2 linked regions of the Drosophila melanogaster genome follow. The protein of the gene in region 1 interacts with the protein of each later gene in a pairwise test. Each region holds a gene or a part of one and is shown in the gene's direction. Other genes may lie near its edges.

Region 1 (17,535 bases):
CCACTGGTCGCCTTCTCCAGGTAATTGAAGTTGTTTACTTTCTCGATTGTATTTGTCACTAACTTTTGTATAATTCGTTAATGCTTGCCACATGAAGGCAGAGGTAAAAACTTAAACCAAGTGTCCCTATATATTATATATTAGTATTTTAATTTTCGATATTTCTGAATTCATTTATATTCAATCCTACTATAACCTATGCTTAATTTATTAGTTGTGTTATTATGTAGTTAAAAGATTTCAGTTATCTTTTTGTTTTTTTTTTAAACCCATTTTATGTTTTTTCCACAGGATCAAGTCTGGAAACCCTGGCTACTTTGTCATCTTCAATCCCACCGAACTGCCGCAGGCGAGCAACTTTACTATCCCAGACAATCTGCCGGACAAGATGACGGTGTCCTATTTCAGCGAGCAGTACAACAATAACATGGATAACTCCGGAAAGGTTGCTCATGCTGGACGCGTGAATCTCAAGGATCTCAAGGTGGCCCCGCACTCCAGCATTATCCTGACCTATGTGCCAGTGAAGGCGGAGTAATGTGGTAGTACCTGTAACTATCCACCAAAATAAACAATATCGCATAATGGCATATATACAGAAATTGTATAAAAAAGTAACTCGCTTTGTTAACCGTTGAGATTTAAAGCCGCCAAACAAAATTAAAAACTTATTCGCTGAGAACTTTTTAGACTTGCTTGCTTGTTAAATGCGCTTGCTAAGAAATAAATACAATATTTGCTTGCATTTAATATAAACTTGTGTTTTAATGCATATTAGTTTGGACAAAGACCCTAGAATAACAAGATGCGTAACGCCATACGATTTTTTGGCACACGATTTTTTGGCCGTGGCTCTAGAGGTGGCTCCAGGCTCTCTCGAATTTTTGTTAGAGAGCGAGAGAGCGAAGAGCGCTACAGCGAACAGCTCTTTTCAACGCACAAAGTGATAGCAGACATCAGTATGTGTGCACACGTATTCACATGCATTGTAAATTTGACAAAATATGCCCTTCACTTTAGAAGTTCTTTGGCTTTAAATCTATATTATTTTTGATAAATAAATTTCAAAAATGACTTTATATAAGAATATTTGTCATTAGAGTATTCATGTTGCGGCGTGTGAAAAATTAATAAGGCAATTGTTGAGTGCTTGTGTCCGCACTTCGTGCCTCAAGATATGAACAAAGCAAAGACACTAGAATAATTCTATTGTCTTTGATATTACTTTTGCAATTTAATTTAATTGCATATTTAATTATTTAGTATATTTATTAAATCATTTGACTTAATATGATGTAACATTAACATTAAAAGTGTTTCAAAAAAAATATTTCGCTTTTAAAAAATTGTCAGATGAGAGACAAATTAGAATTAAACATAAATATAAATGTGTAAACGGTAGCTAATTCGAGCGGCGATTTTAACAAACAAATTTAAAAAGCTTTAAAATTATAATATTCAGGGCGCGAATTTTTAAAAATTTTTTTATTTTATCATATTGCTAGGAAATTGGCAAAAACTACCCTAATATGTACCATGTAAATTCGTTTCTTCGATCAGAATTGATTTCGGCCCGAAAATCGTCTTCTAGCACAACACGCACACTTATACGCGTTCTCGTCTCTTGTTTTTACTCACACAAGCAAGCAAATTATATTTTTAGATTTCTTACGCTCTCAGCGGGAGTGAGCCGAAAGAGAGTAATTTTGGCCGTCACCAAAAAAGTGGCTGCATAGTGCCAAACCAATGTATGGCCGTTACGCATCTTGTTATTCTAGTGTCTTTGGTTTGGATTAAATTCAATGGGCCTAACATTAAAATATATATTTAAGTATATTAACATTTAACAATGTTTTAAATATCGGTCTGGCAACATCCAGTTTCTGGCAACGCCAGTTTTCGCCAGAATGGCAACTTTATGTAACGTATAATCAAAATTCAAATTCAAAGGTCTTGTGTGCGTTTGTGGACTTGACACTACAACAACATCAACACTACACAATTTTCTAATTTGACATTCTTAAACAAGTTGGTCAAAATGCATCTCTCCTGCTTAAATGTCATACCACACTGAAGAGGAGCAGAACTATTTGGCCTTTGTGGAAAAGTTTAAAGACCTCAAAGAAAACAGCGAATGCATTTGGCATACGTGTGTGGGCCAACTTTGAGATACAAATAGTTGGGGCGAGCTGGCAAAACAAAAGTATGTGCGATGTGTGGGCTGCCAAAGACAAATAATCAAAATCGACAAGCGAAATGAGCCAAAAACAAAGCGGCCAAAATGTTTTTAGTTTGCACAGTCCTCGCTTTGAATGGCAGCCTGGGGAGCAAGAGCTCTCTCCACAAACCTCCTCGCCACTTATGCATGTGTATCACCAAAAGGCCAAAAGGATATGCGCACGTGCTAATGTGATTAGATACACAAACACCAGCATGCTGATGCAGGAAAAGGCGACTTGTTCGAGGAACCGCAACATGCAGTGCAGTTGATTGCGGCAAGCCAGCTACAATAACAAGAAAACTCGACTACCGTGCAGAACAACTTCATTTTGGGTATCTCCGAGATGCAAACTATTGTTGCGCAGGTCATCATCATCGTCCACATCATAATCATCATCACCATCATCATCTGGGAACTGCAAACTTCTCGACCGGTATTCCGCCCCTTCCCACACACATATGTACTTAACACCCACCACCATCCCTGCCAACACTTTGGACCTGGCCTTGTGCGCTGCGAAATTATTTTGTCGCTACAACTTTTCCATCAGGCAGTCATCAAGTGCAGCACCAACCCTTCAGGACAGGTCGACTCCGGCTGACCACTGATTTAATTGCAATGTGCAACACATCTGCTGCGATGTCACCAAATGCGCAGGGGAATGCGTAAAGTGGTTTTTAATAAAGTTTTCACTTGTATCCTGGCTTCGGCCTTGCGAATGATGATGAAAGGGTTAATTGCTCCCCCTGACAATCTGTGGTTGTGACGGATATACATTTTTTTACACTGAAGGTCATAGATGTTTTGTAGGATTAACATTTTGTATTTGGGAAAGTGTGCTTAAGGCTATGGATGTTTTATATGTATATTAATATAAAAAACTTTTTTAAACAACCTTTTGTACATGGATAAGTATCATTAGTATCACTTATTTTATCGCACTATCCCTTTTCAAAATGCAACTAATAAAGTAGGGAAAATTAGGTAGCGGGATTTTTAAAGACCACACACTCGACTATCACGTTCTTAAATGGTGCACATGTACTTGCTGTTGTAATATATTATAATAGCCCAGTAAGAACTTTAATATTCGACTATAATAGCTTTTGTCACGATCTGCACATATTTCACTTACTTTATTTTCTATAATAAACAAGTAATCATGAGCGATAATGCCATGTTTTATGTTGCATGATCAGTGTAATTGCTTTATTAATTGCCGAACGCCGAGCTCTTACTTTGTGTTAATGCAAATTTCGTAATTATATTAAATACAGCCTACGTAGTTAATATATATAATAATATGATATTTAAATACAATGTAGTGCAAGTCACCCCAAATTGAACTATTTCTACGATTAAAACCTTTGCTGGCACATTTATTAGGTGTCACGATATCAGCTTAGGGTTCCTTTGAAGGGCTTACAACGGATTATGGGGCGAATACGCACCAGTGTCAACAACTCAATTCGATGGGCAGAAAAAAAAAAACAGCCAAATGAGTCGGCTAATTTGTATTGATTTTTTATCGGAAAAGCCAACTCCCTTTTTTCTTGCGCCCCATACTTTTTCAGCTCTATGTTGCTGGTGCGTATTTCTGTTTGTTTTGAACTTTCCCATGAATAAATTTTGCATATTAATTGAGCGACTGTCATCAATATGTCTGTGCGCAGAACGGAACCCACCCAATGACCAATGAGCATTCCCTGCGCCAGCCTCATCACAGCATGGCATCATTAGTTGGCCTAAAAAATCCCATCAGGCTTTGATTAACATTTTGTGCACACAAATGCCGGCCAAATGCAAGAGCGTCTAAATGAGTTGCATCTAATTGAGTGACAAACACGCCACGAACAACACAACACCACCGACACACCAGACCCAAGCCCAGACCCAGACCGACAGCAACTGGCCACCTCTCACAAACTGTGCCAATTTGTTTTAAAATGCATCATCCCGGCGCTCAATCAGCTCTGCTCGGTCCAGTCCGGAACTTATCCCACCCCAGGATCCCCCAATGTCCAGTGCCTGCTCTCGACTGTTTTTCAATTTGCATGCAAGCGTAAATTACTCTCGGCTCGAGACCCCTTAACCCCTTCCTGGAACATCGGACCCTCTCCCCGCACGGATTCCGCCCGCTGGTCGGTTAAAAGGTTTGTCCTTTGGTTGTGTTCTATATGCAGATTGCCATCGCTGTCGAGGACTGCTCCGTTCTTGCTCCTCCTTTTGGTGTGCCTGACGGAATCTTGTGCCTGACTGCTTTAAATAACTCTGCGTATCTTGGTTATGAACATAAAACACGTTTTTTGGCACCCCATTTGTCATTAAGCTACCAATTTGCTCGGCTTCAAAAACATCTCAAATTTCCCACCAATCGAACGAGAGGGGGGAGCTGAAAATTAGCCAGGTTAAAAGCCCAAAGAAGTGAGATCAAAAAGCAAGCGATGAGGACGAGGATGGCGAGCCTTTCCCGACGCCGGCCCAAAACTGATAAACACACAAATCTTTAAGACCGCAATTTAAAATTTTGAAATGCATTTTAATTGAGATGTTTCGTAAGTTAAAACAATTTACTTACTGCTGTGTATTTAAACAAAATAATTAACTATAACAAGGATAGCTTGAAAACATTATTTGAAAATCCGATTAGGGCTGCACAAGTGCTCTTTTCTGTGGAATTTAACCATCCACTTGTTTAGTTAAGTGTGGTGTAATCAAAATTGTTTTACATGAACTCCGAAAATTTCCCCATTAATCTTGAATAGCAACTTTAACAATTTCACGGAAGCAGTTTTGACTTCGTGTACATATTCACCCGATCCGTTCGGTGGAAATGCAAACTGACAGCGGTTGATATACATTTGCGATCTGGGCGCCAGACTTGTGTACGATTCGCATGCCTAAGCAACTCGACTGGCTACCCAGTTAAACAGGAGAAAAAATTGGCGATATAGTGAGGATTTTTATGGTTGTACGCAAAAATTGTGATATCTCTGGTAAATATGATTTATAAACTAAAATGAAATATTCCTTATTTTTCATTTGAATACAAATTGCTATTACTCTTTTTCAAAAGCATGATTCATTAAAAAATATGGTAATTCAAGGAAAGTTTGGTTATAAAATTCTAAAAATATTCTATGGTAATAACTTCTTCCGCCACTTTCGACCTAAAGTAATACATTCAAAGTAGATGCAATTTTTCTCAGTGTACTTATCTACCCACTACCGCAAACTAAGCCGAAAGACCTCCTTCCGAGTCGCTAACAATGTACAACAACTTGTAGAATGGCCATAACAATTATAAAACACGAACACGAGTCGCTCGCGGGGAATTGCGATTGCAATGGTAGGCAGCGGGGTGAGGTGTCTGCGGAGGCAGACTGCGGTTGGCAACTTGGATTACCTTTATCTGGCTGCCGGGTCATCCGGAGAATTCTGCGCCCAGCACTTGGCAGCATTCCCCGATGTCGTCGCTGTGTCGTGTATCTTTGGTGCGGCTTTCGAGGTGACAACTGCGACAGCTAAACGTCAATTTGTATAAATGTTTGCAATTGCCACCGATGCGTCGGTTGTGGTGAGTGTGGAGTTGTTAAAAATAAAACACACTGAACGCTGATGATCGATGCGGGGGTCGCAAAGGTCCTACAAGGAAAAAAGAGTATCTGTCAGATGCAGAGAGTGGAACTGGGAGCAAGAGAGCAGATCATAAATAAATATTTCCTTAGCAATTTGCATTTTTTCTGACCGCCCGAGTGTTTGTTGTTTGCCGTTCTGCCCCAAGTTTGTTGGCGTTTTTTGAGAGCGCACTCGGCCAAACGAGTTTCGATTCGGATGCGTATCCGCGAGATACTCTTCCCGCGCCGCTCTTTGCTAATTGATTTATGAGATTGCAAATGCAGATGCCCCCAGCCAAGCTCTTTCGACACTCCGCCATAAAAAGGGCTAAAATTTGTGCGATCCAAGGTACAAGAAATGGTGCAAGAAATGCGCCTTTAAAGCTATGTGAATTTTATCGTTCTACAATCGGCACGGGATCAATTGGTGAAGATGTAAATCGGATTTGGATGAAAAATGTATCCCCTTGCCTATGCAATATATACAGTTTCATGCAAATCAATGACAAAGCCTTCCGCTCTCACTTTCGTAAACATTTTTTAAATAATATGTTGTAGTACCCTAGTATGCAATTATATTAAGTTTTCACATTACCTCGATGATATTGATAGTTAATATAATAAGTAAGTAATTTTCTTTAAATTCAATTTTTGTATGAGCAAGTCAAAATAATTACATAAATTCATTAAATTTAAGTCACTTTATCACTTCATTTATTTAAATATTAAATTAATAACTTTTGTCTCTGAAACACTAAACGAGAATCAAAAACGGTTAATTAATGAGTATTATCTTAATGTTTTCTGATCGCTGAGCCATTCATTCCCCTACAATTTGGTCACCAATGGGAAACTACTGAAGTACCGAAGGCCCTTTCGAAATCGATTCACTGCCCAAAAATCGAACTCTCGACCATTTTTGGTTACCTTTTTGGGAGTTGCGTGCATCGCCTGAGGGAAGTATCTTTTAATGGAGCCGAGCTTCGGCAAAATTATCTCCGCCGTACTGTATAAACGATCCTGACTAATATAACGGCTGACGATGAAAGGGGACCTTTCAATGTGATAAATGCGAGTGCGACACACGCAAATCGCTGCGTCTAAAGGTGGCATAAATACGCGGCGCAGGCCGAAACCCAGCTGAGTGGTTCGACCTATATCGTCGGCTAGACGCCCAAACCCGATTCGATGCTCCCCATATCTGGCGCTTCTTCTTCTCGCGCCACGCGGAAAGAGAACGGAAGAGAGAGAGAGAGCGACCAGAGTGCAAATTTACGATCGGCACATGCAGGCGGGAGACGTCAATGTACGGCAACAAAGTTGCTCCACTCGAGCTTCTCGCAGAGATTCGCAAAAAAACACGCGAACTTCAAGAGAGAATCGCTCAGAGAGGAAGAGCACGTCTTCGATGTTTTATGCTCCCCATTAATGGGGCAAATGCACTTTACACTCTCGCAGACCCGTTTCTCTCCGTAACTCTCTGTTGCCCAAGATGCTTTCGTTTGAGTTCTTCACATACCAACGTTGCTTCGAGCTTATGAGTTTGCTAAAAATCGTGGGAACCGATGAAAGAAATGCCCTTCTATCGTATAAATGTTTCTGTTTAAAAACTATTTACTTAGTATTTAAAATAATTGACCGTTTTTCGTATTTCACATATTAAATAGCAACACAGAAGTAATGAATATTTTAAAACATTTTCCGTTCAAATACATAATTTTTTAAAATACATTTTATTTGGCTGATATTAGCGGAAATTAGCCCTTAAAAGTATGCAACGCAGGTAAGGAGAATTAAGTATCCGCAGTGCGGAACCTATATTTTTCGCGGCGAATTTAGCTCATATTACATACGATTTAATAGTTTGCAATACTTTTTTATAGTTCATAGTTCATATTGTAAGAATTGTGTTTAAATTATGTTATTTTTAGCATGGTTTACTTATGGAAAAGAGCATAGTTAAGGGTTTACAATGAAAACGGTCAAATAAGGGTATCCATATCTGGTACCAAACCAATTTGCTTTCTCCCAGTTGATGTGCAGTGCATCCAGCAGTCGAGCAGGTTGGATGCTCGCACTCGTTTCTTTTTTCGCGGTGCAGCAACCAGAGTGCAAATACAAATAGCAAGAGCGTTGCGTCGCCAGTCGGTGGGCCCGTCTCTGTGCCAGAAACACATGCTCAGTTTTAGGTCCGCCCGTCCGCCTGAATGTCCGTGTATCTGTCCGCTGTCTTTTGGTCTGCTAGTCGGACTGGTACTGGTCCGAGTGTTAGTATCGTGCACGGGGAGCTTTAGCTTTGTGGCCGCAACCAGTTTGCTGGCATCGATCGTCCTTTGCAGGTCGTGCATGTCGCGTTGGCGTCTCGCGCCGTCCGCGTTCCGTGCTCGAAATCACAATCTCAAGCTGAAGTGAAAAGAACTGGAGCGGATTCGGTACAAAATTCTGTGCGATAGTTTTTAGTTGCTGTGCGAGGTCCGAAAATATCTCTAAAATGCGTTGACCTACAGGGAACCAGATCGAGCCGCGAGTGCCATGCTAAACAAAGTCGTTTGCGGCTACAGCTTGTACGGTTTAAGATAACAAATAAAAGAAATAAATTTTTACCGGCTTCACACTCTCACTCTCGGTCCACGAAGCACTCCTGACCGTCTCGTACCCAGCCGATCGGACTCCCCGTATCTCATCGAGTTCGCCGAGTGCTAGTGCTATATTCTCTCACTTTGCTTGCATAACCAAGAGCAAAGCACACCTCGCGGAGGCAGATCGCAGATGCAGATACAGATACATATACTGCTAGTGGTCTAGTAGTGGACCTGGAGATACTCTAGCGAGTGCATGCAATTGGCATTGTACCTGGTAAGTGAACGATGAGTTACGAGCGCTCTGCGGCCAAAATGTGCCACCACTCCGCTCCGTTTTGCCACCTTTTTGCCCGGCATTTGGGGGCGTTGCAAACTGCCTTGTAATTGCCTGACATAAATGCTCGTGTGTACAAGGCTTAATGGCGATAGCAGCAGGTACGCTCAGCGATTGCCATCTACAACTGGCGGTATGACTGCTGAATGGGGGGGAGCCAGGGGTTCAGGCTATTGTCTGACTTCCAAATTAAACAGGAAACGAGCAACAGGTCGCGTTTTACAGCCACACTATGAGACTCCCGCATTAGTTTCTAAGATTGGGATAGCGTAGGCCATTGCCATTGTCGTTTGCGATCGGCTATCCTAGATGACTGCATACATATAAGGCAAATTGGACCAAGGTCTAAGTGGTTATGAGGAAAATGCAAATGACAAATACGGAAACCAACTGGCTTAAAACGATAAACACGTGCTGAATATTTTTATTCAAATTAAAGTTGAAGCGAAGGCGTTTCTTGTTAATTTTAAAGCTTACCATCGATTATTCACGAGTGCTGCAATTATAAAAAATATATGTAAATTAGAACTTAAATTTTTGCCAATGCTCATTGTGTATAGCGCGAAAGGACAGTTTACCTTTAATATTTTGTGTTATCTTGGGGATAATTATTCATTTCTTTTGGCTATTATTCTTGTCATTTGTAGTCGAAATAACATAGTTAGCCTTGCTAAGTTAAAACTCATATTTTAGTGGGCGTAAGAGATCATTAGTAGAAACTGCAGCTTGCTTTCACTCACGAAATCTCGACTTTCATGAAGACGGATGACGCAAATGGCAAGATCGAGTACACCTGTCTGTAGTCTTAAAAAAAAAGGTATAAGAACCTAGCATGCCGTTTGACTCCTCAGCAAACATGCAGACTTTTTACTCATAGATTTATATTAAGTAAGTTATTAAACCATATTAGCAAGACGAATATTTTAGTATAATATAAATCTGAGCTTGGTACATTTTCCCAAGAATATATACAAATATAAAATACCTGTAAATGCATTTTTCTTAGTGCACAGTTATAATGATCTGTACTCAACTTTTTAAGCTGCACCCCACTTGCAATTATCATATAATCGACTTAAGGTGCTTTTGCCATTTATAACGCCGAGCTGTCCTTGGCCCATTAATAACCTGAAGTGGGTTCTTATCGTGATCTCTTCCGCTTTAGACAAATTAATTGAGCATACATGCGCAAGCTGCACATTTTTTATGCTCGCCCGTAATCAATTTAATCCGCTTTTCCTTTGGCAACTTTGACCACTGTTTCCCTGCTTATATTTGTCATTATTTCCACCAAACACAAATATTGAAAACTGATAGCCAGCAGGGTCTTTCTCTTAAAGTGGCTCTTCGGAGGAATTATTTCTCTGCGGGTCTCTCAGCTCATACAAATTAGAGGCGACATGCAAGATAAGCAATCTTGTGCAGTTTTTAAACACACAGGCAAAATAACAACATTTTGCCGTGGCCAGCGGGAGGCGGTGGAAGAAGGGGGCGGGTATCTGGTGCTAGCACGAATGTGAGACCCGTTATCAGCACATCGTTCATGCTCAATTTACCCTCCATTTAAATACAGGGTATTAACTCTTTAGACTCCGAAATTAAGTCATTACAGCAAACGAAAATTGAGACAGACAAACGCTCACACTACATGTCACCTAGCTAATAGATTAAAATTCTCATCGATACTGGCTTTCGTCTATGTCACATATATTTCTCCCTATCTTTCGTTCATTAGGTTCTAATCAATCGTCAAACATTTTGAGTGTGAATCTGTGTGCATAGGCAAGTTCAATGAGTCACCATAATGTCAAACTAAGTGCAAATTAGATTAAACACGAATCAAACACGCCAGCAGGTGTGGAGAAAGTGGACAAGAAGTGTAGAAGAATCTTATATTCCCTATCTATATAATATAGAAATATTAACCACATTCTTCCCATGTATACTTTTTACTTATATTACTTATATTATTTGGTTTTTTTATTATTGATATGTAATTGATTGATGTAAAGCTTTTTTTATTTTTGTGCTTTAGAGGGCCATTTATCGATTTACGAGTATCAACATATTTATAGGCTTAACTTATTTAAGCAGGTAACAATATTTTGGTTCTTTAAGTTTGAGTAAACCCATTAAATTAAAAAAAATGTTTTTTAGAATTCCTCTTTTCCATTAATTGTTATTATATTTTAATATCTTTCTAAAATTGTTATATATCATATGTATATATGTATATAATATATTTACGCACATACATAAGTTAAAAGAGTAATAGAAATGCCACGAATTGCACTTTTATTTCCAACCTAGTTAGATAAGAAGTATATACATATACTATATTTCAATGCCATACCTCTAAAACCCATTTCCAATAGCCCACTTGAAACCATTTCCTCGTATGTAGTGGTTATCGACTGACTGACTGTATATAAATGATTGGAGCTCCTTTGTTAGGTAGTTGCACAAGCCTCTAGAAGACCATTATACCGGAGTACCGTCCACAAATATCCACATCACTCACACGCCCTTTAGAACGAAAAACTAAGCAAAACAAATGCAATAAAATTCGCAGCGCAAAGCGGGCAAGCAGAAATGCAAAAAAGCAATTAAGAGGCGGAAGGCGAAACTAAGACTACGTCGAGCGCACTGCAACTCGAACACAAACAAGTTGCAAGGCGACTGCAACCGGCATCACAACACACTCCAACATTCACAAGTGCAGGGAAAGCAGCGACACCAACGAATCGACAACAACAACGCCAGCCAATGTGTGTGAGGCTGCCTATGTACTAGTCCGTCCGTTTGTCTGCGCGAGTGTGTGTGTGTTTGCTGCATGTGCCAGTATGGTGTATGGTGTATTGGTGTGCAGCCCCCACATTTCTCCAAATGCACGCAACGTCGACGCTGCACAGTGGAGCCAAATCATAGGGCTTTATTCACAAATATTGAAGCCTCCTACATATAAAAAGATATTTTCTGAACTTTTACTTATGTTTTCATGTGTTTCACAGTTACAGTCTTGGGAGTTCAGGAGAAAAACTCTTTTCGATCCACGTTAAACTTAAAAGACGACGATTTTTGAAAACTGGTAACATAGAATAAATCCTAAATTCAAGTAATGAATGGTTCCTTTGGTAATTTGAAGAGACCATAATACGATTTGTTACTTCCTTGGTCCCTTGTTAAAGCTATTTTAGACCAATGAATTAAATAAATCCAACTTCAAGAAATCCAACAAATTCAAGAAATAAATAGTTTCTTTTAAAATATGAAGAAAACGTAATACTAAAAAAATAAATAAAATAAATAAAATTGGAAGCCCAGCGTTACTCAAGCATCCGTCCAAACTCGCAGGATTATCAAGGACTTTCGGCCCACTGTGGCTCAGTTTGGTGCGCTGCTCTTGCTCTCTCGATGCGATTTTCGGTTCCGTTTCGTTGGCGGTGCCCGCTTCCACGCAAACACAGGCAAACATCGCACAAACACCAGCCAACTGGCGCACACACACACCATCGCACATCCGCGGGCCGGGCACCAATACTGACGCATTCGCTCGGCGCTTTTGAGTTCTTTGCATCCGCGTCTTGCGGCCCAATGTGAGTTGCCTTGTGCATGCCAAAGATTTCAGATCGGTCAGCAGCAGCAGAAGCAAAAAGCTCGGCTCGCGACTCGCGCGGAACGTTTTTTAGAAGTTGTGCGGATTAAAAGAGCAGATTTGTATTTGATTGGCCCTATGAATATTGATTTTTGCACGTTGCTATCGGTGCTGAATCAGTCGCTTAATTGGACTACAATCGGATTCTTCAGTCGCGCGTTTTACCGGCGGCTTTTGCAAGTCAGTTGAGATCGTGCAACACTTTCTGTGTGATTTTTTGTTTGTTGTGTGACGACTATTAATTGATATTTTGAAACATACAGCTGAAAGTGACTGTATAATTGGAATTGTGGAAAGCAAGTGTTATGTGTGAAATCAACAAAAGCTAAACATACCAATTATTATTCTAATCCATCAAAAGTAATCCGGCATATTCTTACCCATAATTTAAAAACCTTAAAAGTACATAAATCCAGCTCTTAATATAAAGTTATTACTAATATATAACGTATTTTCAAATATCATTAAAAGTATTTTGACTCTTAAATATAAAGTCTTTTAAAATACACGTAAAACAGGTAAATAAAATGTTTTTAAGTTGTAATTTACTCTATTTTGAATGATCAAATGATCTCGAAAATAAATATAAATGCATTAATTGTAAATTAAAGTACGTGCATTATTGCGAGCATAATAATAAAACATGTTTTAACTATATGAGCTTTTATTTATAAAAAATTGGTTACTCATTGCTAAACATTATTAAAAGGATAAAGAATTCGAAAAATTCGCGTAACCCATTGAAGTAGGGGAATAATTTTTTGGACAGTTTTTATCCAACGACTTTTTTGTATTAAACGTTATATGATTATACAAAAATTTTCTAGTAAATAAATTTTAATTTTTTAGAAATTTATAGGCAAATTTCGGCAATAAATTTACCTTAACTTTTAAAAATTATAAATGTTTTTCATATTAACTTTTGCTCATAGATATTATACTTTATTTTACGATTCATAATTAACCGTATTACGTAAATGTATCTGAGAAATTTTTTACACATCTCTCAAACGAAAAAGACACTTGGAAAATTAATGTGTAGACATTTTAAAGAGTCAAAAGTCGACCATAATTCCAGTACCTCCTCCCATTAACTATTTGCGCATCCGTCGTTTCTGTTTGAGACAGTATTATATAGTATTATATGACACCGGGACAAATTCACTACTCTATCAATACAATGTATCTACGCGTTTGACTCCGCCTTCGAGTTGTTTCTGAAATCCAATACGAGTCCAAGCAATGTAAAGGGGCGTGGTTGATCGAATCTAAATGATTTTTCATACTTTATTGCCATATAACATGCGATGTCCGATGGCCAATAAAAACGAAGTTTTAACATGTGGTCTTGTTTTTAAAAAAATTCCAGAGTGAAGTGTACGCGAAAATATGGCAAACATTTTCTATTGTTACCAATACAAATGTAAATTTTTTGCTACCACTAGCCAAGCATGCAAAAAATATGGCTAAACTAAATTCCTCAATCGTTTATAAACATTTGTGCCTCTTGTTTAGAGTATATGGATGCATTGGAATTGCATCAGCTGAATAAGAGTGGAGTGCATATGGACTAAGACATGACAATTATCTCGTATTAAACAAAAATTTGAACTTTCTCTTTTCAGGTGCTTCTAAAATCAAAAGAAAGCAGCAAAATTTAAAAGTGAGACCTAAAGTCGAAATATTTTCCAATACTCTTCGGACTTACCCAATAACTTAAGCTTACCAATAATTTATGCAAGACTAAATTGCAATAAAGGCATATAATCCCTAACAATATAACTCTCATTGAAAAAATCTTAAATAATTTAAACCCCAGTGAATTAAACAGCAAAAGACAGTTAATAGACACAGAAAATGCTAATAAAAATAGCATAATAAAAGCACGGTTACATAAACTTAGACGCTCGAACATTTACATAGGATATCAGAAGCTGGAATCATGGTTTCGGAGGAGAACTGGAATAGCGACACGATGTCCGACTCGGACATGATCGACTCAAAGAACGACGTCTGTGGCGGAGCCTCCAGTTCCAGCGGCAGCTCGATTTCGCCGAGGACACCACCGAACTGCGCCCGCTGCCGCAATCATGGCCTAAAGATCACCCTAAAGGGACACAAGCGGTACTGCAAGTTCCGCTACTGCACGTGCGAGAAGTGCCGACTGACGGCGGACCGCCAGCGGGTGATGGCTCTGCAAACGGCCTTGAGGCGAGCCCAGGCGCAGGATGAGCAGCGGGCGCTGCACATGCACGAGGTGCCGCCTGCCAATCCGGCGGCCACGACCCTCCTGAGTCATCACCATCATGTCGCAGCTCCCGCTCATGTCCACGCCCACCATGTGCACGCCCATCACGCACACGGAGGACACCACTCGCATCACGGACATGTCCTGCACCACCAGCAGGCAGCGGCGGCCGCAGCAGCAGCTCCGTCGGCTCCAGCCTCCCATCTGGGTGGCTCCAGCACGGCCGCTTCCAGCATCCACGGTCACGCCCACGCGCACCACGTCCACATGGCAGCTGCTGCAGCCGCCTCGGTGGCTCAGCACCAGCACCAAAGCCACCCACACTCGCACCACCACCACCACCAGAACCACCACCAGCATCCGCATCAGCAACCGGCCACGCAGACCGCCCTGCGATCTCCGCCGCACAGCGACCATGGTGGCAGTGTGGGTCCGGCCACCAGCAGCTCCGGCGGTGGAGCACCCAGTTCCAGCAATGCGGCAGCGGCCACCTCGAGCAACGGATCCAGCGGCGGTGGAGGAGGAGGCGGAGGGGGCAGCTCGGGTGGCGGGGCAGGAGGTGGTAGGTCATCGGGAACATCGGTGATCACTAGCGCCGATCACCACATGACCACGGTGCCTACGCCCGCCCAATCGCTGGAGGGGTCCTGCGACTCGTCGTCGCCCTCGCCGTCGTCCACTTCCGGTGCAGCCATTTTGCCGATCTCAGTTTCCGTCAATCGAAAGAACGGCGCCAATGTGCCCTTGGGTAAGTGACTTCATTTACATTCATAAGTCTGAAAATGCATTACTTTATAACAAAACTTTCACCCAACTCAATATCGAACGTGATTCGTTTTGAGCCAAAAGAGCTCAACTCTACCAACCACGAGCTCATAAAAAACTATGTTTATATCTTTTGAGATCACCCATTAGCAACATTACTTATGGAGTGGTTTTTGAAGGTTACCTAATGAAATTTGTTGGTCTAAAAACTTTTTTATGTAAAATCCATCGAATATCAGATACCCGTTACCTTCTAGCTTTTAAAATTTTTAAGATCTCGACATTTATACGGACGAACAGATCGGCATGGCTAGTGATCCTGATCAAGAATATGTTAACTTTATTGGGTCGGACTGCGTAATCCGTTTAAGTCTGACAAAAACAACCTTGTTTTATGACGAGAAATAACAAATGGAATACGTCCTTCACTATTTGTTAAAATCAATTTAAGAACAGACGGACATTGGATGATCTTGCAATGGCCCATTTCATTTAATTAGGGTCATGTCTTATGTTGTATCTGTCATGTAAAGATTCGTCTCTGGGAGCGCCAAAAAATACACGATGTATCGTGTAACTTTCTTAATCTGCGATCTTTGCAAGTATCTAGCCGTATTTATGGCTCATTTAGTAAAATGCACACGGAAAATTGAAAATGAAAAGCGCAAAGAAAATTGCCCAGCCTTTTCATCCTGGCCCTGTCCACGAGGAGCAGTCCACCAAGGAGTGGCCATGCATCTCGCACCACTAAATGATTGCCACCTAATTATAGGCCGCAAATGCCGCCGCTGGGAGTCCCGAGGACAGAACCATGACTCCACGCGGCGTCGCGGCACGTACCATAGGCATCTGGAGCAGGGACGCCTCCGACAGAAGGCCTAATCAAGTTGTTGTTGTTCTCAAAGGCCCAGACTAGTAAATAACAAAGGCAGCCAGCGGGAATGACAATTGCGAATGGAGTCGACATAAAGTTACCCATTGCTCATACACGAATATAATTCATAAAGACTTGCAGCTAAAAAGTTAAATTAGGTGAAGCTATCTGAACAACATACGAGTACATCCCTAGAAGCTAAGGGTATGTTTGGCATACAGTGTTGGCCCGTAGAGTATATCTATGCAAATATACATAATAAAAATGTTTCATTTGAAAAGGAAATAAAAAATAAAAAAAATAAAACACTTAAAACTCTTAGCAATGTTACAGTATTAATGACACGGAATCATGAGACCAAAGCCCTGTACTTGCCGACCAGATGAAAATCCCTGGAAGGACAGGCATTGTGGTGTCGGTGACGGCCAATGACAAAATCAATTAACTTGGATACACTGGCTGTCAACAGTTGACACCTGAAGGCTCCAGTGCCGCCTATTTTTCTAAAGCGATTTGATCGCCCATCTTAAAGCATTTAAGCCCTATTTATGCGTGGGAAAAATACTCTTTTGCTTGGTAAGCCATGTGCGCTTTGCCTTTGCACTAGGCCTTTAAGAATCGTACTGTTTTAAAATCTTATTTCACTTAAATTTACTTATAGATTTAAATTCAAATTTAAGTTTAGTTGCAAAACCTTTTGTACATTGGTTATTAAAGCAATGCAAATAAATGGTTTTATGTCAAAGAGATATTACATTTAAAGCGAGGCAAATTGAATTCCATTAATCTTTATTGTATAAAACATAGTAATGTGATAAGCATATTAAAGTATCTTTGAGATACCGACACCATGGGAGTTGCATTTTTTAGGATCCCCTTTTAAACAATCAGTCTAAAGCTTTAATCTTGCAGACACGCATAAATGAAGGAAAATGGCTCTTTATGAATAATTCGCTGTATTTAGTGAGCCATTATTATCCGATTCCTTGGGACAAGCATTTATGATCGGCGTTCCCAAGAACTTAGAATGGCAATACCTTAGGGTAGCAGATATAAAAGCTGATTAGCAGCTGGTTGCCGATTCCGTCTGGGGGTGTGGACTCCGCCGAATCAGGTGCAATGAGGGCCATCCAACGCTCGGCTGACCACGTTCCCTAATTGCATCGCGGCACACAATGCGGCATACAAATGCAGCACAAACTACGACTACGACTACGGACAATTCCAAGACGCTCTGTC
Region 2 (15,737 bases), on another chromosome or scaffold:
ACATAGAATTTTATATTTTCTGATTTATTAGCCCCTGCCAACCGCAGGCGATGCCGCCACTCAGCCACTCTCCGCAAACCGTAATTTGTGTTAGCCCAAAAACACGAATAAAAAACACAGACCCCAACACACAGCAGATACACGGCCAAATGACAGCTGCAAAAAATATTATAAATATAAATATTTTCGGAGCAGGAGCACATGCAATCTTGTGCAATTTTCACGCTGCAAGCGAACAAAGGGGAGTGCATCCTAACGCAATCCCGAGAAGGAACCCACCCAAAAAAGACAGCCCAGAAAACCAACCCGAGCTGTCAGCGCAAACAGTTGCAAACAGACATGAAGATTATGGTACGTAGGGGGATTCCCAGGGCAGTCGTTACAATGTAGTTACATATAACTGCCAACTGTATGTGTACTATAGTATAGGAGTATAGAGTGATTTCCAGATCCTCACGTTTTTCGTTTGTTTGCCGGAGAGGCAAATTTGGTAATTCTGTTCGTAGCACACTCAAAATAATTTTCTCTTTCGAAAGGGGATAAAAAAAAAAGAACAGGAAACTTTCCGGGCTCTTGGCAAAACTTATTTTGCTGTAAGTTGAGAAATTTATTGAGCTTGCCGTTAAGCACTTAAAGTTGGGCTACGGCAAACAATTTTGATATGAGCATTGAGCTTGAGTTTTGCATTTTCCACATGCTTAAACGTAAACAAATTTGTCACTTAGCTGTATGAATAATCTTCGATTGAAATTGGTTTTCAATTGGAGAAAAGATGCTTCAGGGGTTTTATTTGGAATCTGCTCCAAGGTGCTGATAAATTGAATTTCAATTGTTGCTCAAGGATTCGGTTTAACGGCTTTTCTCATTAAACACGTTGCACTTTCTGATTACCGATTCAATTTTAGCCAGGTCACTTTACCTTAAGAACATAAATCCTGACAGCTTGAGGATGTTTCCATTCTTCAGACGCCACCAAGACGCAAAAAGGCCCTAAGCTGTCAACTTTAGCATATTTCGCGTTTTTTTATTCATCCTACTTGGCCAGCTTTTCCTTTGTCTTTTTATTTCTTTGCCTGACTCTATGCCACAGCACTGATTGTTGTGAAAAACTCGCCTAAGCTACTGGAAAATCGCAAATTTATGTTAATTTTACGTAGACATTATTGTAAATGATGAGCACTGAGAGGAAATTAAATGAAATAAAATGAAATCTTCTGACAATGATACTTTTTGGTCTGCTGAGATTTTTCCCATTCACCTATGACTGGTTTCCATTTTAAAGGTCAGTTCGGCGATTATTCAGAGACCCCTTTTACAAATCACCGAAAGTCGAAAAGCTGCCATTGGAATCCACTTAAGAAAAGGACCTGCCACCGAGCCAAAGGATACACGGACATGGAAATAGGATTTCAACTACATTTTATACACGTATATGTATTTCTTCAGTAGTTTTATCTGGTTTGGTTCACACATTTCATTTGATTTCCCTGAATGGGTGAAAATAAACGCAAAATTTGATAGATGTTCTGGCTGGGCAAATGTGGCGCATTTTCGATTTTCCTTGGCGCAGTACTTTTTACACCATTTTTATGCTCTCGGAAAAGTTTGTTTGTCCGGCTGTCGGTTTGTTTATACTTCACTATCTCTTGGCTCCCCCCCATCCTTTGGCCTGTCTATTTATTTATTTTCCAAATAAATGCTCGCTCCTTCGCCGTTTCCGTTTTCTTCCCTCGCACTCGTTGAACTCTCAAGGATTGAATTGAATTAAATGGAACAAAGTTTGCTCGCCTCCAACTGCAGCGTTTAGATAAGGTTGGTCTGCGGAAGTCGGGGGCCTTCGGATCGCATATATAAACGCTCCAATATTTGAGCGATGCATTCGGATTTTTGTCGATTTATTATGCCAAGTCAATGAAGGGCACGCCGGCAGCCCAATTGATGATTGCAATGCGATTGAAGCAAAAAAGATTGTGTTCTCAAGTGCCCATTCAAAGTTAGACCACTTTAAAGGTGAAATTTACATATTGCCTTAATGAATATTTTTAATCATTATGCTTGATCGGAACTAAGCTCATTGTTATAATATATTTAAATATTTTATGATAAATTTCCCATGTATCTTTAAAAATCACATTTTGTTTCATGCAGTTTTTTCGGCCTGGAAATTCGTTGGCACACTACTGAATTCGAGCCCAGCAAAGTGTTTGCTCCTTTCGATTAAACACTTTCTCCGGGGAGAGCGCTTTCTCCATGCATCCGTCCTTTTGTCTGTCTGCTTGTCCGTCTGTCAGTTTGCGCGTCTTCCGTTTTCCGTGCGCACTGCTCTGCTCCTGGCATTGGCAATGCCATTGCCAGGACATCCTGCTACCGCTCCTCATTGGGTAAGCACACAATTACCTGAGCGTGGTGGGCCATGATTTGCATTGCACTTGAATTATTTCCGTTTGCAATGCTTTACGTTGCCGCAGCGGGAAAAGTGGAAAAGCGGTGGGAAAAGCGCCGGCCCACATATGCATAATTTCATGCTCACTACCGTTACGTGGGTCTCATTTAGTTTGCCTTAAACGCTGTTATGGTTTCCCCTCAACATTTTCCGCTTTCTCTCCGTTTTTCCAGCTATTTTTTCGCTGTCTCTATTATGGCAATATCTCCTTGGGTGCAACGTGTTCGCCGCCAGAAAGTGTGCAATGCAGCTGAGCTGGCGCTTTGTATGCAGATTACCTGCATTTGGGGCTGAAGTTGGTGTAGCTCTAATGAGGGTAGAAAAAAATCTCATAAAAAAGAATAAAGCAAACTGAGTCCAAAAAAAATACTGGGGATACGGGAAAAGGTCCCTGGCCTCGTGCGTACATGTACATGCTAAATTTATGCGCAATGAAGAGTGAAAAGCAATAAGCTCTGCCAAGTTGTGCATGAAAGGGAAATTGGCATTGAAATGGGCCCGTTGGCAACCCGTCGATTTGGGCTGGTATTATCGCACAATATGTTTATTGGAATTTTGGCGGCGAATATCGGGCCAACTTATGCAAAACCTCTTTTTTTTAGCCTAAAGTCGACATCCGAAGTTCGGATTCCGAACATTTAAAAACGAAGACTTAATTATAAGTTGCTAAATTTCATATTTAAGTGAGCTCAAGATTCTCACCAACTCTGCTTTATAATATTCAAACGGAGTATGGCATTTGGTACTGCTTAAAAAAATATATATCATGATTTTATTTTTTATAAAATATTAACTTCATATATATTTCGGTTGGCTGCTCTCGGTCCTTAATAGATAAATTTATATTGTTTTTATCTTTGTATTGCTATAGAGGCAATAATTAGTTTGAAGCCAATTTGAGCATTAAGCCCACTTTGTGGACGAAATATCTGACCACATACTAATTAGCAGAGCCTTTTAATTAAACACTTGCATTTGGATAAAACTCTGTGCGTTTTCTACTATTGTGCATGGCAAACGAGGTTGCCTTTTTATAATCAACACGAACGCTTCATTAGCTATGGGGTTAGAAATCCGCACAAATACGCCAGGTACATATGGATTTTAGGCATAGTCATAGACAGAGACGACGTGTTTGCATTCGAGTGGTTGCGGTTTTTAATTAGTTTTGATTTTGATTTCGATTCGGGCCTTCTGCAGTCAACAGTGCACGTCCTCAAACGTAGAGAGTCCTTTTATGGCAATGAGCCGCGAATTGGACACTTGGCCATTTGATTGCGGTCCTTTTGGGCCGGGCTCCTTATTTGCAAAAGAGCCCTCTTTTTAATTAAAATTATTAAAGTAAACAGCACAGTTTGCACTACGGAATGGTGCTGCTTTGATTATTTTATTTTTATTTAATTTTTATGGACAACCGACGCCTGGAAGTAGGCTGCAATAAGCCATAAATATATATGAACTAGGCTCAAGCTGAAGCCGAGCAAACTATAATTAGTACGTAAGCATGGTTATTTTTTGACATTTAGTTAGTTACTTTCTAATGTCTGTGTGTTTCGCTGTTTGTTGGCAGCACAATCTGGCCAAGTTTCTTTGGCCTTGACCTGGAAATCCACTACAAGCGGAGGCTGTCCATAAATAGTTTTTGTTGATTAGTGACCCTGGACGGAGGGCTCGAATTGGTTTTTAAAAATGCAAAGGTCGAAACTGTCGGTGTGGCTTTTTAATTATTCTCCGACATAAACTGACAAGCGCATTTCCCACTCTCGGGCAGCCAGAAACCCTTAATGGCATGTTGCCTTTCGAGAGCGGTGGAAAATCGCATGTTGCGGTAATTAATATTCCTGCCTGCAAAATATTTATATTCGCACGCAACGCCAGGCGGTCACTCAGTCAGTATTCCTTTCAGTATTTCAGTCTTGAAAAGAAACAATTACCTCACTGCAACGTTCAGTGAGTGGCAATTATAAGTTGTTCGTGTCTGTTAATTAAATGTGTCCAGCAAAGACATTTAATAGGCTTCAGTTATTTACAAAGGCACAACATGGCGTATACGCGATCAAGGAGGAGGCTTAAGCGAAGTCCTGCCAGAAGCTTAAACACACAATTTCCCCATCAAGCATGGCTTTTATGTGCTGAAAAAATTGAACCAATCGAAATATTCGATTATTTCTCCGCTTGGCCAGCCTTAATATAATTTCCTTCTGTGAGTAAGCAAAGATTAATTAAGTGCCTCGTTCGCTGTTTGCATTTCCTCATCGAAAGTGTGAAATTTCGCGCCCATGTCAGGTGTTGATGGCGGGTCTTCAGTTGATCGGCGGACAAACAAACGCTAATTAGGCATTAAGTCGAAGCTGGCAATTAATCAGCTCAAAAGTGTCCATAAAAGCAAAACGTTTAAGTGTTACCCCCAAGTGTCAGACGCAAAGTTTTCCCCACCACCCACCAGGTTTCTTCTTATTTTTCACACCCGCAGCCGACACGCGGTTTTCCGGCTTCTGTTGAGGTGGGCGCTGTGAAAATGGGAAACTCACGTGGGAAGTAGCTAAAAACTAAACAACAGGCTTTAATGGCAGTCGTTTGCCAGACATCCCAACTTACCAGGCAAGCCACAAAAGCGAGGGTTGCCTATGGGATATGTGGGTTACTGTACTGTTTAATGGGCTTACAAATTATTAAAGAATAAAGAACATTAATTACTATAGTGAAACATTCGTTTTCAACCATTTATGCTACGATAGTATATATTTTTTTTATCGGAATACCAGTATGATCGGTTTTAGGAAACTAAGAAAGCATACAGCCTTCAAATCGCATTAAGCATTATCCCAAATTAGAATTTAGAGTATTTTCTTATTTTTCTGGCCAACGGCTAAAGATATTAAAAAATAACTTTCGAATTTCTTTTCCGCACTCTTACTAGCTGACTAAAGGGTAATCTGACAGTCGTCAAACTCGGCTATAGCGTTTTTTTCTTGTTTTTTTTTTTTTACATTAAAAAAAAAAAGTACTTTGAAAATATTTGTTCTATCTATCTAGACCAAATTTTGAAGTCGGCCCTCTCTATATATGCAGCTGTTGCATTGTAAATATTTGCATACGTGTTGCAAAATTAGTTAAATAAGCATTTATTGTTGCCCTACACTAAGCTGCTTGCAACGTTTGTGGCGCTACAACATTTGAATTACTTTTAATGTTTGCTCCGCCGGGAAGTTCGCGTCTTCCACTATTAACAAAAAGGTAATTTCCCAGCAAATTGACATAAAAGACTGTGTGCGGGGTAAAAGTTTGCCTGCTAAACTTGTGTTGTTTAATTTTTCGGGGACCAACACGCCCGCACACCGAGCAATTCGCAGAGACAACATCAAAATTTATGTAAATGAAAATTGCATTGCATAAGCCCGCCAACGTAACGTATACGCAGCGTGTGCAGCCAGAACCATTTTGCACGTAGTATTAGCGTCGCGCTTTCATTATTTGTGCCATCCTTTAAGGCCCGGTCCCCAGCATCGAGCCATTAAGCCAACCTTCCGCCATATTGCCCAAGGTATATATAGTGTATATGGTGCAGATGTATATAGCAGTGTAGGTCTATGGCAGCTTTTGCGGCACTTTTCCCTTAGTTTTCTTTATTGGTTTCTTGGGCCATGCAGCCGAAACTTTCAACAAGTTTGGCTCGTGGCGGTCTAAAGGGTTCACTTCTCTTCTCTTAGTGACAAAATTTTCAACTGGATGTCATCTACTTTAATAGTCACCAAATAGGAAAGGCCCAACATGTTAGGTTAGTTTTAGTGGCGTGGGCGGAAACCGTTTTCTATCGTTTTGGTTTATTGGATCCATAACCTAAAATCCATAACCATGCATAAATTGCTCTCTTATTGTACTGAAAATATTTTAATTGGTTCTGCTCTGTTCGAAAAAATATAAAATAATTTCCACTGATAAATAAGTGATGATTATAATCTATTACTTTCTCCTACTTGTATGCAATTATAAGCAACAAACACTCGATAATTGCTGGCCATTAAAGCTGGTATTTAAGCTGGAATCCATTGAGGGCCTGAACTATGCTTGCCAATTATCCAACCACGAAGGGTGGTTGTCCGGCTGGGGAAACCACTTAATAAGCCCGCCAACTGGCCAGTGCTGCCCCATTTTCCACTTTCCCATTCCGATTCGCGTTCCCAGATCGCTGACAACTGTCCGAGAACGGGGGATTGTATCAAATATACAAGTAAATTGCTTCATTTTCGAATTTCTGTCATTGCCGACGTGCTCTCTCTTTCGTTCTCATATATGTTTGAAAATCTATTCGTGCCACGAATTTCATTTTCAACTTGGCAGCTGCACTGTTTGTTGTTGCCGAAGTGAGACGTGCAACGGCTGCCAGGCAACTTATTAAAAATGTCTGCAGTGGCAGCAAAATGGAACTCAAATATAAATACAAGTAGTACTTATATATAGAAAAAATACTGATGAAAACTGCAGACAGAAGAAAATTATTTGCCACAAAACTTGCTGAGCCGTGAGCTCATGTCGTGCCACATAATTGTCCAAGGAGAGTGCGACAGTAAAAGTGCTTTGATTTCCGACATTGAATTAGCTGCACGCCTCTTTAATTACCACTGGCAAATCCTTCAATTACTAAATATCTTGGAAAGCCTCATTAACAAGTGGGAAATAAGTGGGAATTGCACTGCGTATGCTTACAAAAAAAAGAATACATCAAACTTAATTAATCTCACACTTTTGAAAGCAAATAACAAATATTTCATTTTGTGTATTATATAACTATCAGCTTGTTTATTTATTAAACAAAGTTTAAACGCCAAACTGACTTTTTTTGCTTCTGCTTTGTACGACTAAAATATATCATATTTTGTTTGCCCAGCGTAATTAATGTTTGTAGAAACGGTGTTATGCAGACATTTAATCGGTAATGTGTGCACATTAGCATTTTATTTTTTCTCACTGTACGAGCTTTGGAAAATTGAATCTTACGTAATGCCATATAAATCGAGCCACCTTCATATAAAATTCACTTACAACAGCAGCCAGTGGCAAAGAAAGAATTGCAATCGAAATTACTTTTAGCTCTCGAACGAGAAATGCAATTTGCATTCAGGGCGGCTGAAAATGTGGGTGCGGCCAAGGGGCCCCATATGATGGGGTGATGGGGCATACACGACTGTCGATGCATCATCAGAGCTCAAGTATCTGAACTTCCCGGGCTACTGTGAATTGCGGAGCCCCTCCTCCATCAATTATGCTGCGAATTTCTTCATTACAATTATCTCGTTGTGCTCTTGGGCCGCCTTTCGCATTGTTTCCCTTCCAACGTCATTGCAGCAGCAGCACTCGTGTGTGGAGGACTCTTCACTTCTTCGTTCTCTTATTTTTTCCTGATGAGCAAGTGATACGGCAGAGTCCCTGGGAAATTGGTTTTAATTTTGCCACTTGACGTGGCCGGCACTTGTCGTGGCATTGACTCCCATTCACCACCCCCCCCCCCCCCCCTCCCATTACATCCTTTTCCTCGGGTGTCAATGTCTCGGCTCTCGATTTCAGGTGAGCCCGATTTAATGAATGAAGATTACAGGGGCCATGCATTGGCTCAGATTTATGCGTAATGATATTCAAACAGGTTATTTATTGACTTAAGTCTTGAGTCTTTGGTTTCAGCTTCAGCTTTGGCTGACTCTATTTGCTTTTCTCGGCAAACAACTGGATAATTAAAGCATCAAATGCAGACAAGCCAGTTCCGCGGGAATAAAAATGTTACGATTCTTACGACTCACAAGAAAAATGATCTAGAATTAGTCTGACATTATGGCGTTTTGACTGCAATTTGTGCTGCTTTATTATTAAAAATTATTATTTAGTTATTTTAGAATATTTTTCTTTTCATTCTATCTTTCCAAAATTTAACTTTAGCACAAATTTGCTCAGTTTACTTGTCAGCCGAATGCACCCTGGGTCAAGGGGTATTAACAATGACCAAGTCCGATCCAGAGATAGAACACACAAGCGCCGTCACACTTGAGCAGCAGAACCAGAGCTCCAAGACACTCGGACGGACGGAGATCTCGACAGGAGACGAACGACGAACAGGTGTTCCAACTTATTCATTAAAAGCAAAAAGGAAACAGACAGCGGCAGGCAGGAGAATATAGAAAACAGCTTCAAGTGGGGACGGAACCTGACCGAACACCCCGTTTCCCTTAAAGTCTCAAGTTGACACTGAAAGCCCACATTTCTTTTAAATTAAAGGTAATTCTAAAGAGCAAACTTTTATGAAGCAACATTTTTAATATTATAAAGAAAGTAAATAGAATAATTTTGGTTTTTCCCAATGACAATATTCTTTTTTCTAACATCTCTCGAAATATGTAACTTTGAATAATTCTTTTCCAGTGTATCCTTGTTGGCTCAAAGTTTTTCGCCTCCTTCAGTCGCTTCTTCAGCTGGTTAAGATTGTGGTCGACACGCAATTGCGGCAATTCGAAGTTGGATGCGCTCCGCGGGGCCAGCGAACCGAGGCAAAAGCCAAGCTAAACGCTTAGAAGCCCCTCTCCACCAGTTGCTCCTCTTGCTACCCCAGGAACTCACATCCGCCGCAGTATGGAGGCAAGTTTCTTGCGGCAGCGACAACTGGCAACCTGCCACTTGTGACTGGCAAGCAGCAACTTTGGAGCACTGAGAAAACTAGAGATAGACTAGTAAAGAATTGTTCTATAAATTTAATTAATTTTTAAATTTATTAAATACGCCTTAAAACTGATCTAGCTTTGTATTAAATGGATTTTTATGTATAGATGTTCTATATCCAGTTATGTATAGAAGAGAGCAGATTTTTGCAGTGCATCAACTGGCAAATTCAACTGGCTGCATCGACTGAAACCGAAGCCGGTTTCGGGTGTGTTAACTTTCTATGCCCGGTAGCGCTGATTGCCAAGACAACGACAGCCCAATTCATTCAGCGGTCTCGCCTTTCAGCGGCAGCAGCTGCTCGAGGTTCTTTGGGCCACTTCCTCGCCTTTGTAACCGCCTTTGTCCACTTGTCCAATTGCTTTGCATGGCCAGAATCTGGAATTTCTGCAGGCTATTCCAGTTCGATTTATCATGGGCAAAGTTATGATCGCTTAAGTGCCGTCGTTTAGGGTTCCTGTTTTAGCCTCTGCAATTGCTCCTCATAAATTCTTCCCGTGACAACACTAATTGCAACTTGCTAGATGTAATAAGAGGCTGGGAATAATTTTAGCTACTTATACAGCCATAAATCCAGTTGGCTTTCGAAGATCTAGATTTCGTATCCATGGATATTTTGCCGGATTAACATATAAGAATTCATGCCCAAGCCAGTCTGTTTTTAAGAGTATACAATAAAGTTTGAAACCTCATTTTTTGGATAGCATAAGCAAAACTCAATTGTAATGAGCTTAGACAAATCCGTCAACCGAACCCAAAATGTTATTCATTTAAACTTCATTCCGGTAACCACAAAACTATAAATTTATTAATTGTTCTTCAGTTCACACTTTCCGCGACCATCGAAAACATATCAGTGGACAATCGTATTTGACAGCCCATAATTGCTGGCAAATTAGAATTATTTATTCAGCAAAACCATTTCTGATTGCCATCCGTTTAGAGTTTGTAATTCATAATCGATGTTTGGTACGCTCCGCGCATAAAACCGAAATAAAACCACAAAATAATAGACACAACTATGTATGTTCAGTATGAACAGATCGTTTCCATGTTTTGGCTGTGACGGAAGTCTGGCCCCATCGCATAGGAACCCAAAATATATACACACAGACCGCGCAACTCTTTCAAAAAGAGGCCATAAATATTGTTCATTTGTAAATAAATGGCTAACGAAAAAGAAGAAAAACTACGAGTAGTGAAAATCCAACAACTCACAGAGCATATAAAACATGGTTCATGTTCATTTCCAGCACTTGGTTTTCTATTTCCAAGCCAAACACTCTATGGTGTTCCATGTCGCTGCGTGGGTGCTCATTTTTTATTGCAGTATCATCTTCCGGTCACTTTGTCAGGCCTCCAATACATTTCTCAAACAGTAACGACGGCACAAGTGTGCCTACTTGGGTTCGAACTTGAGTTATTAAAAACAGAAACGGAATCCAAGAAGTAATAGAACTACGTCCGACAAACGGAAGTCGGATAGACAATGTCGCAGTGTGGATGGGTTCTATCTAAGGGTTACACTGAGAGTTATGTGTTGTTACAGGAGCTTCTCATTCGAATCTCTTAATAATTAATTGATTTTGCACATTAGTTTCAAACTATTAGTCTATAGAACTGAGCAATAAAATGAGTAAGCTAATATATTTAACTTCATTGGTTATGCAGGAATTGGGTTCTTCTGCTTATGCCACTTAAAAGCAGTTCGCGTGACTGCACTTAGTTCAGTGGCACTAGAGTCCGTTTGCTCGGAGTGACCGGTCCCAAAACCACCAAGTGAACCGTCCCCCTAGCACTCCGCCCCAACACCCACTTACCGCCCATTTCCCCACCCACCTACACACGCAGTCGACGCACCGCGTTACGCTTTGAATATAAATTACACAAATAGTGCACACGACTTTGATGGCTGCAGCCGGCGACATTGAAAGCCGACAACGCTGCACAGTGGGTCGAATCCGAAAAATTATTTATATTTTAATGATAATGATAAGCTTAAAGTGTTGACTAAAATTATGCTATCTACCTCAATCATAAACATCACTATTTTCGATTTATCACATCCAATTTAATTAAAATAAACCCTTTTCGGTCTTTTTGTCGGTATTTTGTGTGCTTGAACAATGCATGTGAAACTTTTATACTTTCCAAGCTGAAAGCCCACAAATTAACCCAAGTCAAAGCACTTCGGTTCAAACTCTTTGGGTCACTGCAAAGACCACAGTGCAGATGAGCTGCCAGGAGCGCTGGTCATATCACCATGGCCCTTTGATGCTAATGACTCTGCCATCGCCTTAAAACCGGGGGATAAGCATCGATGGGGGCTCACAACGCTCCGAACTTAGCGGGCAATCAAAAACCGTGCTGAGGCAAATTGGCATGCGTGATGTAGATGAATGGAGATGCAGCCAGATGCAGCTAGATGCAGTGGCCAGGGGGAAATGGCGATGGATGGAGTTTCTGGGCGGGGGCAGAGGTACATATGTGGGACAAGTGATTTCCGCATCGCTTTCTGGATCGCAGCGAGCGGCTGCGTTGATTGATTGATTAATTGACAAAGGAATTGCCGTTAGTTTTCCATTCGCATTTACATTTGCATATCTAATTTATGAACGGCCAAGTCTTGTCCGGCCGTATGTAGTTCATTGTGTTAGCTATGCAAATGCTGTACTTCCGCTGCGAGCGTCTGCCCAAAGCAGCTTAATTATTCATTAATTTCAACTTAAATTCCATATTTGTGCCTGCAGCCATTTGTGGCCCAGTTTCGATGGCCTGCAGTTGCAGTTATCTTTCCGCTGGCTTTTGTCACCATAAAACTGAAGTGTTGCCCGATTATGAAATAATTATAAGCGTTCTGCACGCACTAACCGGTGATTTTAAGGGCGATTGGACTTTGATTCGGATTTTGGGAGATAGAGTTCAATGTGGGAGCTATTCGCATCGATTCTAGTACGAAATTAACTAGCTTTGTTTAGAGATTTGCGCAACTCGGGCATCTAGTTACCCGTTCCATTGTGTTTCAATACCCATGGAAATGAGAACATTTATGAGCCTCACTCGGCCCGAAAATTGCACCCAGTTAGCATCTATGTAAATTCACAAAATCTATAAAGTGGGACCCAATTTGCCACTGCCATCTGCCTCGACCTTCGTTTTCAGTGGAGGTGCTGCAGCATGCCTTGCATATTTAATCCGGGCTACATTGGACCCGATCCGCCCTGCTGTGACCCCGATTGCTTGGAGGAGGGCCACTGCACGGTTCCGGAGTGCGGAGTTTGCCCGGAGTCCCAACTACCCCGATGCAATCCCGCCCCACAATCCAACAAGGACGCGGCGAAGCAACCACTGGACCAGAAAGCCCAAAAAGAACCGAAGCTCCGGGAACAGAAGTAGTGGGGAAAAAGGCAAAGCTGCAAAAATGAACCAGGAGTCCTTTGGAGATGTGCTGAACACACAACCTTGTTGTGTGTTGCTAATATCTTCAAACATCTTGAGCTAAACCCATTTAGCTCATCATCTCCTGGGCATCGAACCGTCATATTGTAACATTATATTTCAAAAAAATTAATAATAATAATAAATAAATAAAATGAATATCTATAAATAATAAAAACAATAATAATATATATTAACCTCAAATTACCAGCTCTTTTCTATTTTAGCACAAAATAACTGTGGATAAAAAATACAGATAAAATTAATTCATTTTCTTATGATCTATCTAAAATGAAGTCAAATAAATTTAAACCAGCATTCTTGATTTAAATGTCAACAAAATAACACATAAGCGTACATACGCATTTTCTTCATTCAAATTTCAAGCACGAAACGTGTTGTTCTGGTCAAACATTTGTTTAAATTTCTCATTTTTCTCTTCCATTTCCGGTGAGTTTCGAAAGAGAAAATGTGGGAGATGTATTTATAAAATAAGATTTGCAGACTTCTTTCGAGTGCTGAAAATGGTTTACTTAAGTCGTCCTTGGACTCCGGCCATAAACCCTTTCTACATTGGCCCCTATCCGAGATGCGCAGTATGTCCGTGCAACTTCGACATTTACAAAGGATACACCCCCGGTGGCTGGCACAGTCGTTGCTATAGCAGCTATTGACGAGACGAGTACCTGTATAAAATGCAAGAATAACGGCGGGAACAAATATAGTTGAACTTTGAAACTGCACACCAATTAGCCTCGCACACATCTATGTAGAGAAATAATAAAATTGATTCATCGTCACCAAACTGTTGAATATTGCTGGGGAAATAATATAAATATTCCAATCGAAATGGCTTAGATTTCAAATTAGAACTCCTGGGAATTTTAGTTTATCAGGTCGCAAATTGTGTGAAAATAGTTTTCTAAATTCAAAATTCAAGTCTCTTGGTCATGTCCTCGTCTGTGGATCACGTGGTACACCACGTACTGGCCCCAATGGCAATCAACGTCCTCGATCGCGTGGTGCCAGTAATCCGCCAATTGGTGATCATCATGCATCAGGCATTTCTGGTTGATCACCATGTGTCGGAGCCCGTGATCGATGTATCCGGCATGATTCAGCCCGTTCGTAAAATAGTCTTGATTGTAAACGATTCAACGCCGGAGCACCATGTCGACCAGGAGCAGGTGGTCAGTTCGGATGACATTAACTACCTGATAAATGAAATTTCGCGAAGTATCCGAAACTTGGCCCGTTCGACCTATAATACCATCTCGGCGATGGCTGGAGAGTAGCCCTAGAATTATTTGTCATCGTGGTCGATCGAAAAATCCGACATCGACCCTCCTGATCCTCCAGAAGATCCTGCTCCTTTGCCCAAGATATGGAAATGGTTCACACGGCCATCGGAGTTGCGGGCATAGTGGCCCTGTTTATGGTAGTTTCCCGTTCGTTAACTGAAGTGGGTGGCAGGGTGTTAAACCAAACCCGTGATCCGATCGCTGACCTTGTGAGGCGCGGTGGTCCAGTGGCGGATCAGCTGTCCGCCGTCGAGGGCGAAACTCCTCTAGTAGAGGGCGATCGCATGGATGGCGCCTGCTCCGTGGTACAAAGTATTGGAGGCAAGGCATGTGCCTTTGTAGGACCATTGCTTCCTAAGTTTGGCAGTGAACATAATTCCGAGGGCTCCTCCAAGGAAGACGAAAAGGATAAAAAGGACTCGGAACCGGTAGTAGTAAAACCTGAAACACCGCCAGCGGCAGAATTAACCGAAGAGGAGTAGGATCTAGTCAGCAACTATGTCGAATAGAAAGCAAAAAAAAGGAAATTTTTAGTTTTCTCTAGTTGGCCTTGGAAATAAACTTCACTCATCTTGTGGGCTTTGTGGGATTCGAAACCTAGAGAGCTCATTCATTTTGAACAGCTTGGACTGAACACATCTCTTTCGTAAAATAAAACACAAAAAAAAACAATATGAAAAATTGAACAAAAATTCTAAATTCGTAGCCAAGGATTAACTTCAACGTATTTCTTCAGCAGGAAAAAAAATCCCAGGTACGTTCTAGTTCGTTAAAATTGAATAAAAAAGTTATACAATTTAAAAATTGTAAAATTGCTTTGTTCCCTATAGTAATTTTTAAATATTTGGTAATGTTTTGTTAATAACAAACCCCGTTTTGAATGGTTGCAGCCGTACCTTTTGAGCCCCTCCTGCAGATTTTAGAAGAGATTCCAGTGTCCTTTACCAAATCCAAACTTTCAAGATGGTTCTGATGCTTTGCTGCAGCTTCGATCCCTTCTACGTTGGACCCTGCCCACCCGGCTGCCTGGCTCCTTTGATGGGAGGAACTCCCTATTGCGGATGTGGTCCCTGTGGAGGTTGCTGTAGTCCTTGCTGTGGTCCATGTGGTCCTTGTGGTGGCTGCAGCTCGTGTCCTTGCGGCTGGTGAAGCGCCCGCTATCATAGGCATTAATACGGCAGCAAGCGGTAACAAGTCAATTTAAAGATCAACCTTCTGGAAAAGACTGCTGGAGAAATATGTTGCTGTTCGAATTCCTTTTTGCCTTGGCCGGGGCTAAACCAACTAAGCTCTCGTATACATAAAGAATTTTTATTATAAGCTGTTCAGTAATAAAATGAATTAAAGTACAAAAGGAACTGCTTTGTGATATATCTCAACACCGAATAGATCCAACCTGGCAAGTGGATTACGTCAATGTAAACGTGGATGGCCAGCCTCCAGTTAAGGATGCAAATGTTGTCCTAGGTCTTGCCTAGAACAGCTGTTTGGGGCATCAGGTTTATTGCGCAGTCGCGATTCGAACGCGCAACTCGAACAAAAACATAGAATGTAGAGCATTGTGTCAGGTCAAAGGTTGTTGGGGTAGGGATGGAACACCCCCTTCTATTATTCAATCTTTGAATGAAAATGAAACTGAATCTCCAATGCCTCCTGATGCCATGTTGTGTTTTGGATAAGCGCGATTTACAGGGCCGTGTCTGAGGTGTCCCTGAGTTTTTCTGAGGTGGTGATTCCACTTCATTTACATTCATGTGTGTGTGTGAGCTGGCCATTTCACTCTTATTTTGGCATCACTTGCTTTGTTTTTCCGCGGAATTTATTGCGGTAGGTCGGAATTTTCATTGCTT

Evidence for each region.
Region 2: the proteins of dsx (region 1) and CG31740 interact in a two-hybrid assay, tested with the Drosophila melanogaster proteins (2 studies listed by BioGRID).

What each region holds. Positions count from the first base shown.
Region 1 is NT_033777.3:7,957,622-7,975,156, reverse strand, and holds the start of dsx (doublesex), read left to right. Parts: upstream 1-7,748; 5' UTR 7,749-8,694; intron 8,695-12,370; exon of another isoform or gene 12,371-12,927; intron 12,928-14,034; 5' UTR 14,035-14,351; coding exon 14,352-15,405; intron 15,406-17,535. Other genes in the region: CD98hc (CD98 heavy chain), read left to right, coding at 1-20, 292-538. UniProt on the Drosophila melanogaster protein: Controls somatic sexual differentiation. Binds directly and specifically to the FBE (fat body enhancer) of the yolk protein 1 and 2 genes (Yp1 and Yp2).
Region 2 is NT_033779.5:17,994,458-18,010,194, forward strand, and holds CG31740 (uncharacterized protein), read left to right. Parts: upstream 1-14,495; 5' UTR 14,496-14,641; intron 14,642-14,777; 5' UTR 14,778-14,850; coding exon 14,851-15,036; 3' UTR 15,037-15,237; downstream 15,238-15,737. Other genes in the region: CG5693 (uncharacterized protein), read left to right, coding at 12,326-12,544; CG42659 (uncharacterized protein), read left to right, coding at 13,111-13,260; CG42634 (uncharacterized protein), read left to right, coding at 13,537-13,881; CG42635 (uncharacterized protein), read left to right, coding at 13,971-14,369.